2 linked regions of the Canis lupus familiaris genome follow. The protein of the gene in region 2 purifies or fractionates together with the protein of the main gene of each other region. This does not show direct contact. Links are inferred from orthologs where the notes say so. Each region holds a gene or a part of one and is shown on either strand. Other genes may lie near its edges.

What was found.
Region 1: the proteins of HTT (region 2) and CREBBP purify together in Homo sapiens (affinity purification with western blotting; 5 studies listed by BioGRID and IntAct, with this or other methods). This does not show direct contact. The link is inferred for Canis lupus familiaris from reciprocal best matches to the Homo sapiens genes HTT and CREBBP.

The regions. Positions count from the first base shown.
Region 1 is NC_049227.1:37,802,727-37,806,545, reverse strand, and holds part of CREBBP (CREB-binding protein), read right to left. Parts: intron 2,032-3,819; coding exon 1,852-2,031; intron 860-1,851; coding exon 670-859; intron 1-669. UniProt on the Homo sapiens protein: Acetylates histones, giving a specific tag for transcriptional activation. Mediates acetylation of histone H3 at 'Lys-18' and 'Lys-27' (H3K18ac and H3K27ac, respectively).
Region 2 is NC_049224.1:61,700,861-61,704,679, forward strand, and holds part of HTT (huntingtin), read right to left. Parts: intron 3,809-3,819; coding exon 3,690-3,808; intron 1,933-3,689; coding exon 1,821-1,932; intron 1,581-1,820; coding exon 1,443-1,580; intron 601-1,442; coding exon 442-600; intron 357-441; coding exon 259-356; intron 1-258.

The sequences.
Region 1 (3,819 bases), on a different chromosome or scaffold from region 2:
GTGCCACAAGTAGCCCTTAACTTCCTGAACCACATTCCTCATTTACAAGGGTCACCTAACAATGTTCTGACACCCTGCTGACTTCATGCTGGACCTCCAATGGGTTCCCTCTGAGTCCCCCTGCGAGGCTGCCTCACCCCGCAAAGCATCTTCAGTTATCTGCACCCCTCCCACTGCACCAGGCACTGGGTCCTGTTCCACTGCCCATTTACTCTGAGCACACCTTCCCATCTGTAACAGTGCACCCACGTGTAGCCACGGTGATAATTTCCCTAGTGTGGCAGTCAACCTCCTGCTCAAATCTATCCGTGGTCGTCCAGGCCCTACTGAGTAAAGAAAGCCCAAGCTCCTCAGCGGGCACAAGGACTCAGATGCAACTTCTACTTTGGCCCCATGGGGAATGATGGCTCAGAGGAGAGATGTGCTCCTGGGCTGCCCCTCAGAGCTGCGGCTCATTTCTCATTCCCACCATAAACCTCATGGGCCCTCAGGCTGCAGTCTAGCTCTCTGTCATCATTTCTGAAGAAGTAAAACTTGGGGAATGGCAGGCAGAAAAGATATAAGGGGGGGAGACAATTATTTTTCTGCTTTAGCTTTTAACCTGTGGTGTGCAATCCCAACACGATGGAAAAGCAGCACGATAAAACAAGTCCAGGAAACACAACCTACTTTTTTTGCGTGGCTGTGAAGGAGATGTTGACTGAGAGGTGGCCCCATTAGCACTGTTCTCTTCTTCCTCTTTAGCTTCTACTTTGACTTCCGGCTTCTTCTCGTCCACTTCCATCGGTTCTGATTTCTGTTCTGTTGTGTCTGTCTCTTCTTTAACTTGAGAAGATCCTTGTAGATCCTCTTCCATCATCTTGAGAAATACAGAATTACAGGTAATAATGTATGAATAGCAAAGACCTTTATTCTAACTCAGCCTCACTGGAAGTCTCTTAACAATCTATCTGGGCTTATCAAGCTGTACCCTACTCAAGAGTTGCATTTACCATCCCTTCCTCTCCCCCAGGAAGGATTGGAACATCTGGTGTCAGGTGAGTTGCCTTAGGACAGCACCACTGCAATTATAGTCCCAATTTAAAAATTTTATATGCTAGAGTGCTTATAAGACATTGCATATACACACCCCATCACCTGCCCAGTAGTTTTACATGTAGGCATTTCTAGTTTGGAACAAGAATCTTCTTGAAAGTTGGGGCAAGTTTCAAAAACCAAACTGCTCAGAGGGCCAGGCAGGTGAAGTACATGATGCAGCAGGAGGTGTGTGAGCCAGAGTGGGGAGTGGAGACTCCGGCAAATTGGAGCCCAAGCCCCATCTAAAAGCCAGGGCTGAGGCTCCCACCCAGACTGCTGACATAGGAATGTAAGCACAAGGCTGACAGAGCTTCTCATTTTCAAAGAAAAGCCAGAAACCCAGAGTTTTATTTGTAATTCCTCATTTTAAAAAATATTGTGTGGGCCAAACAAAACATGTGGATGGGGGTGGATCCAGCCCATGGCTTGCCAGTCTTTAGCTTTTGCCACAGGTTAATTAATGAATGAGCACACCCTTGTGCAGTCTAACTCTACAGAACTACCTATGAATGAAGAATGACAGTGCAGTCACTGGATGATTCAATCATTTAGAATATAAACCAGTGTCCTCTTCATTTCTGGCAAAATATAGTAAAACCCGTACCTAATACCTAAAAATAACTAATCTATTTTTAACATTTATCCTCTCTGAATCCATCATCAAACAGGACATTAAAACAAAAAGCAGTGTCGTCCATGGAGAACATGCGGTGTCTCGCCTCAGGACGCTTCAGTATGGTGCACACCTGTTCACGCCCCAGGAAGGGCACCTACCGTGGACCCAGGCTCCCCCTTGGCTTCACTGGCATCCGGCTCAGTGTCCTCGGTCTTGACCTCTGCCTTCACTTCCAGCATTGGTACCTCGGGTCCTGTCTGTTGGGAGTTGGTTTCGGCGCTGGCCACCGAGGAAGGAGTGGGGACCCGGTTATCGATGCTGGCGGCTGCCTGGGAAAGCTGTGGAAAAACCAGAATTACATATCTCTGTTAATAAAACAGAAATGATGTTTAATTCTGCTATTCACCAAATACCCAGTTTCTTATGAACATTTCTCAACACTAATCTAATAGACACCCCTATCTGAGAGAACTGAAGAAGAGAAAATTTAAAACAGGAGTCCCAGAGGAAGTCAATGAGGTCGAAACAGAAAGAGCTTCCTACCACGAATGCAGAGATGAAGGTGCAGTGCTTCCTACAGGTTGATATAAAACTATTTTCTGGAAGTTATTTATTTATTTATTTATTTATTTATTTATTTATTTATTTATTTATTTATTTATTTATTTATTTACGAGAGACAGAGAGAAAGAGAGATAGAGAGGCAGAGACACAGGCAGAGGGAGAAGCAGGCTCCATGCAGCGAGCCTGATGTGGGACTCGATCCCGGGACTCCAGGATCATGCCCTGGGCGGAAGGCAGGTGCTAAACCGTTGAGCCACTCAGGGATCCCCTGGAAGTTTTCTAAGTCACAGAATCTTCTATTTTAAAATTAATTCTTTCCAATAAGGCCATTCAAGTTTACCATAAATGGCTGAAGTGTAGATCTAGAAGTACCCAAGTAGGAAGGGGGATAAAAGGCTGACACGGAACAAGGACAGGTATTTTAGCCTGTGAAGTGCAGGCACAGGGGTGGTGAAGGAGAAGTCAGCAAACAAGGCCAGGAACCACCGTAAGAATTCTCAACTTTCAAAGTCTCACTTATAGTTGTTGTTTGTTTGTTTAGATTTTATTTATCCATTTGACAGAGAAAGAGAGAAAGCAAGAGAGCATGCGTGAGTCAGGGAAGAGCAAAGAGGGAGGGAGGGAGATAAGCAGACTCCATGTCCAGCACAGAGCCTGATGCAGGGCTCAATCCCATGATCCTAAAATCATGACCTGAGCCAAAACCAAGAGTCCGAAGCTTAACCAATTGAGCCACCCAGGTGCCCCTACCTAATAAGAGCTTTAACTGAAGTAAGCAGAAGAGAATATAAAATTACAAAGGAATGTTAGAGATTAGAAATATAAAATAAGGATAAATAATAAGCACAATTCCTAAGAAGAAATATAAACAGTAATGTTATGTTGGGGGTATTTATTTATTTATTTATTTAATATCCTCAGTCTCCAAGAATAAAGTTAATGTATTTCAGGGGGAAAGATGGTTTCTAAGTTAGGCTGATACGAAAATGGATGTGAAGATTTCAGTGATAGGGGCACGTGGGTTGCTCAGTCGGTTAAGCATCAGACTTTGGCTTGGGTCATGGTCCTGGGGTCCTGGGATGGAGCCCCCAGTCGAGCTCCCCGCTCAGCAGGGAGCCTGCTTCTCCCTCTCCCTCTGCAGTTCTCCCTGCTTGTGCTTGCGTGCGTGGGCTCTCTGTCAAATAAATAAGTAAATAAATCTTTTAAGGGGGGGATAAAAGACTTCAATGGTAACTGGGGCAATGCCAGCAGGTCTGGGAAGGACTGGGCAGAGGTGAGCTACAGGAAGTGCTAACCTGAGTTTGCCATTCTGTCATGAGACGAAAAGTCTCCAGGTCTGAAAACAAGACAGGCAAAGCCAAAGCACATACAATTAGGAAGGAATGTGCCTTGTTTATCATATCCTCATGATGTTAAGAGAAAAATTACTAAAACTCAGAAGACACCTGCCTAGGATAATGGGGAACCAACGGCTCCTATGTACAGACCTATGTTTGATTTCTTTATAACTACTGATTTCTGAAAACTCGTTTAATTAAAAAAGATAATCTTAAGTTACATCC
Region 2 (3,819 bases):
AAGGTGTAAAGCAAGATCCTTTAGGAAAGGAGCATTTCAAACAAATACCCTGAGTATTAAAACTTATGCTACACTCTATTAAATAAACCTTTCTTGGTAATGCTTTCTGCAACAGAGTCGTGGACACATCCAACTGTTTACTGTTGTTCACAGCTTTAGAAGGTCTACGAATATTTAGCATTAAACCCAATTTTAATGGTAACAAAGGTAAAATTTCCACTAATCAAAGAATTGATTTTCACAAAAGATTATACTTACCCTCACAGCTGTACAAGCCAACTTGCAAGTAACAGAAGATTCATCCTTCAAAGTTTTCTGCAGCAAAGGAACACAGTCCGCCAGAGAAAATGTACTTCCTAACCAGAAGAGCAAACAGCGCCTTTATGCAAACTTGAACTACAGAGTTCTACCTAGGAAATACACTGCAAGTTCTGCCATTACCTGTCAGGGTCCTGACGGTGCCCATCCAATCTCCCACCTGGAAGCGGGATCTGCTGAGGATAGAGGAGATGAGGGTTCCGCAGAGAACGGCTGTGGCTCCTCTGACTTGGGGGTCTCCATGGTCGATGTAGTTCAGGATGTCTGACACATACTGCTCCTCTGTAGAGATAAATTGCCCAGCCACTGTACAAGCCCCTACCATCCATTTTCTAACTCAGAAGAAAAGTTTAATTCTCAGGAAAGGAAAAAAAAAAAAAACAAAGGTGAGGGAGGATTCCAAATCTAGAATATAGATTTGGTAAAAAAATATCATGGGGTTTAAAGATTCTAGATTCATCATAGCCTTGACATCACTTCAACACAATAGATGTTCTGGATTATAATTCCAGGCTGCCAGCCAATAATCAAAATTCCAAGATTTCACTTAAAAAAAAAAAAAAAAAGATTAGAGAAACTCAAACTAGTCCACACTTACCTAATATGAATTCAAAAGCACAAGTGTGTCCCCTCGCCCAAAGAAAGGGGGAGAACTCGGGAGGGTAATTTTAGAAGTGGGGTTCCTCCCCCATTTACTCCAACATGAGAGAATGTCCCAGAACGTGTGCTACAGGAGCCTGGATCTGCTGGTGCTCTGCTGGTCTCGGGTCGCACTTGTCTCTGAGTGTGAACATCTGGCCTGGCTGAGTGTGACCCAAAGCAATTTTGATTATACACAATTTGTGCTTTTGGTATAAATCCAGTATGTATGTAAACTGGCTCTTATGTTCCCACATTTCTATTGTTTCATCATGTGTGTTTAAACTAAACATTGCATCTACAGGGAGTCCAAAAAACAAAAAACATTACGATTTATGTGCTTTATATACAGCTACAACACAGTTCAAAAATGCCACAAATTAACTCAAAAAATATTACTCTAAACTAAAATAGCCAAGATGATCTGAAATAGTTTTCAAAGCAATGGTTAAACATGAGGAATAGACTGTGAACTTGTAACATACCAGGGTATTCCATGGTGTCAAGAGGTACTTTATAAAGTTTGCTGAAGAAAGATTCAGGATGAAGGGCCACAGCAGCTCCAACACAGCTGAGTGCCAGTGCCTTCACACTGACCCGCACGTCCCTGTCTGGAACCAAAACTGCAAGGAAGGCAGCAAAGTGACCTTCAAAGTGACAGACATCTAGTTTCCACATAAACAAAACAAGACCCAGGAACCCAGCTCCCTCATCACTCCCTCCTTCTCCCATCAGTGAAAAGGACCACCGCTCACCCCAGACTCTACTCCCTCCCTCTGCTGCGGTGATGAGGCACCAGTCACCAAGTTGACCTTGAGACCTAGGCACTTCCCTCAGCTCTGTACTTGCTCTGCTATACATACCATTTTTCTCCCCAGTCAGCAAAAATGACGCACACAGGAGGCGGACACAATGGACAAGAGGAACAGAATCATCATCGGTAGACTGTCCTATGTCACCTTTGATCCGGCAAGGCTACAACAAAGAAATGGACACTTTCTTATGATCGTTTGTCTTATGATCAAGGAACCACTATAGTCACTCGTTAGTGTGTTCAAAAAATAGGTCCAGAGCAGCAACTATGCCAGGTGCTGGGGACAGAGATACCTATCTCTGTCCCACGAAAGCCTGGCCTTAGACCATGCTGGAACAGATCCAGAGTGGTCAGAGGCAGCTACACTGTAGGGTCACGGAGACTGTGGCGGGGAGAAGTCCAATGCATGTGTGTGTGGGGGGGGCACCAGCACTCAGGAGAGGCTGCTGGGAAAGGACAGCACGAACCACCATCTACACAAGGGGAAGCACTCAGCCACAGGCAAGAGCCCTGGGAATGCCCAAAGCAGAAATGGCACAGACATATCTGTGCCTGAGCAGGACTTGGAAGGAAGTGCAGAGACTGGGCAGCTACAGAGGGACTATGGACAATTTCTCACCCTCGGGGAATTTAGAACTGAGAAGACAAGACACTTATAGGCAGTAAGCAATAGAGAGAGATTTTATAGACAATTCAATGGATAACTCAACAACAACAAAAAATTCCCAAACCTGATTAAAAACCGAGTGAAGGGCTTGAACAAACATTTCTCCAAAGACAACATACAAATGGCCAGTAAACACAGGAAGAGATGTTCCTCCATCACTCATCATTAGGGAATGCAAGTCAAAATCACAATGATCTACAACCTCACTCCCAGTAGGATGGCTACTAAAAAAAAAAAAAAAAAAAAGGCCAGAAAATGACAAGCCTTGGGCGAGGACATGGGGAAAACTGGAACCCAACATGTTGCTGGTGGGATGCAAACCGGTGCAGCTATCAGGGAAAGCAGTGTGCACGGATCTCGAAAAAAACTAAAACTAGAACTACCCTATGACTCTGCAATCCCACTTCTGGGTGTATATCCAAAAGATGCCTACATGCCAGGTTCCTAGCAGCATCACTCATAACAGCCAAAAGACAGAAGCAACCCAAGTGCCTATCAACAGATGAACAGAAAAACAATATGTGGTCCATCCACACAGTGAGGTATTACTCAGTCTTATGGAGGAAGACACTTCTTACAACATGGATGAACACTGAGAACATTGACCAAGTGAAACAAGCCGGTCACAAAAGAACAAAGACTGCCTGGTTCCACTTAGCTGAGCTTCCCCTCGAATAGTCACATATAGACACAACGCAGATGGTGGGAGCCAGGGGCCAGGAGGAGGAAAGATGGGAAGTTTGTGGTTAATGGGGACAGAGCTTCAATCTGGGGAGATGAAGAGCTCTGGAGATGGAGGGTGGTGATAGCTGCACAATGTGAATGCACTTATGCCATGGAGCTGTACACTTCACATGGTTACAATCATAAATTTTATATTTTATGTATTTTAAAACTATAAACAATCAAATGAATAATTCAATGAATAAAAACAAGAAATGCTCCAAGACTATGCACGACCATCAAATGAATGGCCCAAAAAATCAGGGGAGACAGGAATCAGTACAAGACAGATTTGTCTGAGAAGGACTCTCAAGGAGGCAGAACTCCAGGTAGTTCTCAAGGATCTGGGTAGTACCAGGAGGGGCAGAAAAGAAGAGCACACCCAGGAAGGGGTTGATATTTAGGGGGAATAGCGGAGTAGAAGCTCAGAGATGGGAAAGCGAGGAGCACAGCAGACAGGAGCCAGAGTGATTTTAAACTCTCACAAGAGCTCAGAATGCCAAGTGGTCTCATGCCCAAATATCTCACCTTGTTTTCTTGATCTCCTGTTTCGGTAGCTTCATCTCTGGAGACAAACTTGTCTATACTGCTGTCAGAGGGCTGCCTGCTGTGGCCCATGCTTTTCAATAAATGTGCTTGCTGAAGGGCTTCAAAATCA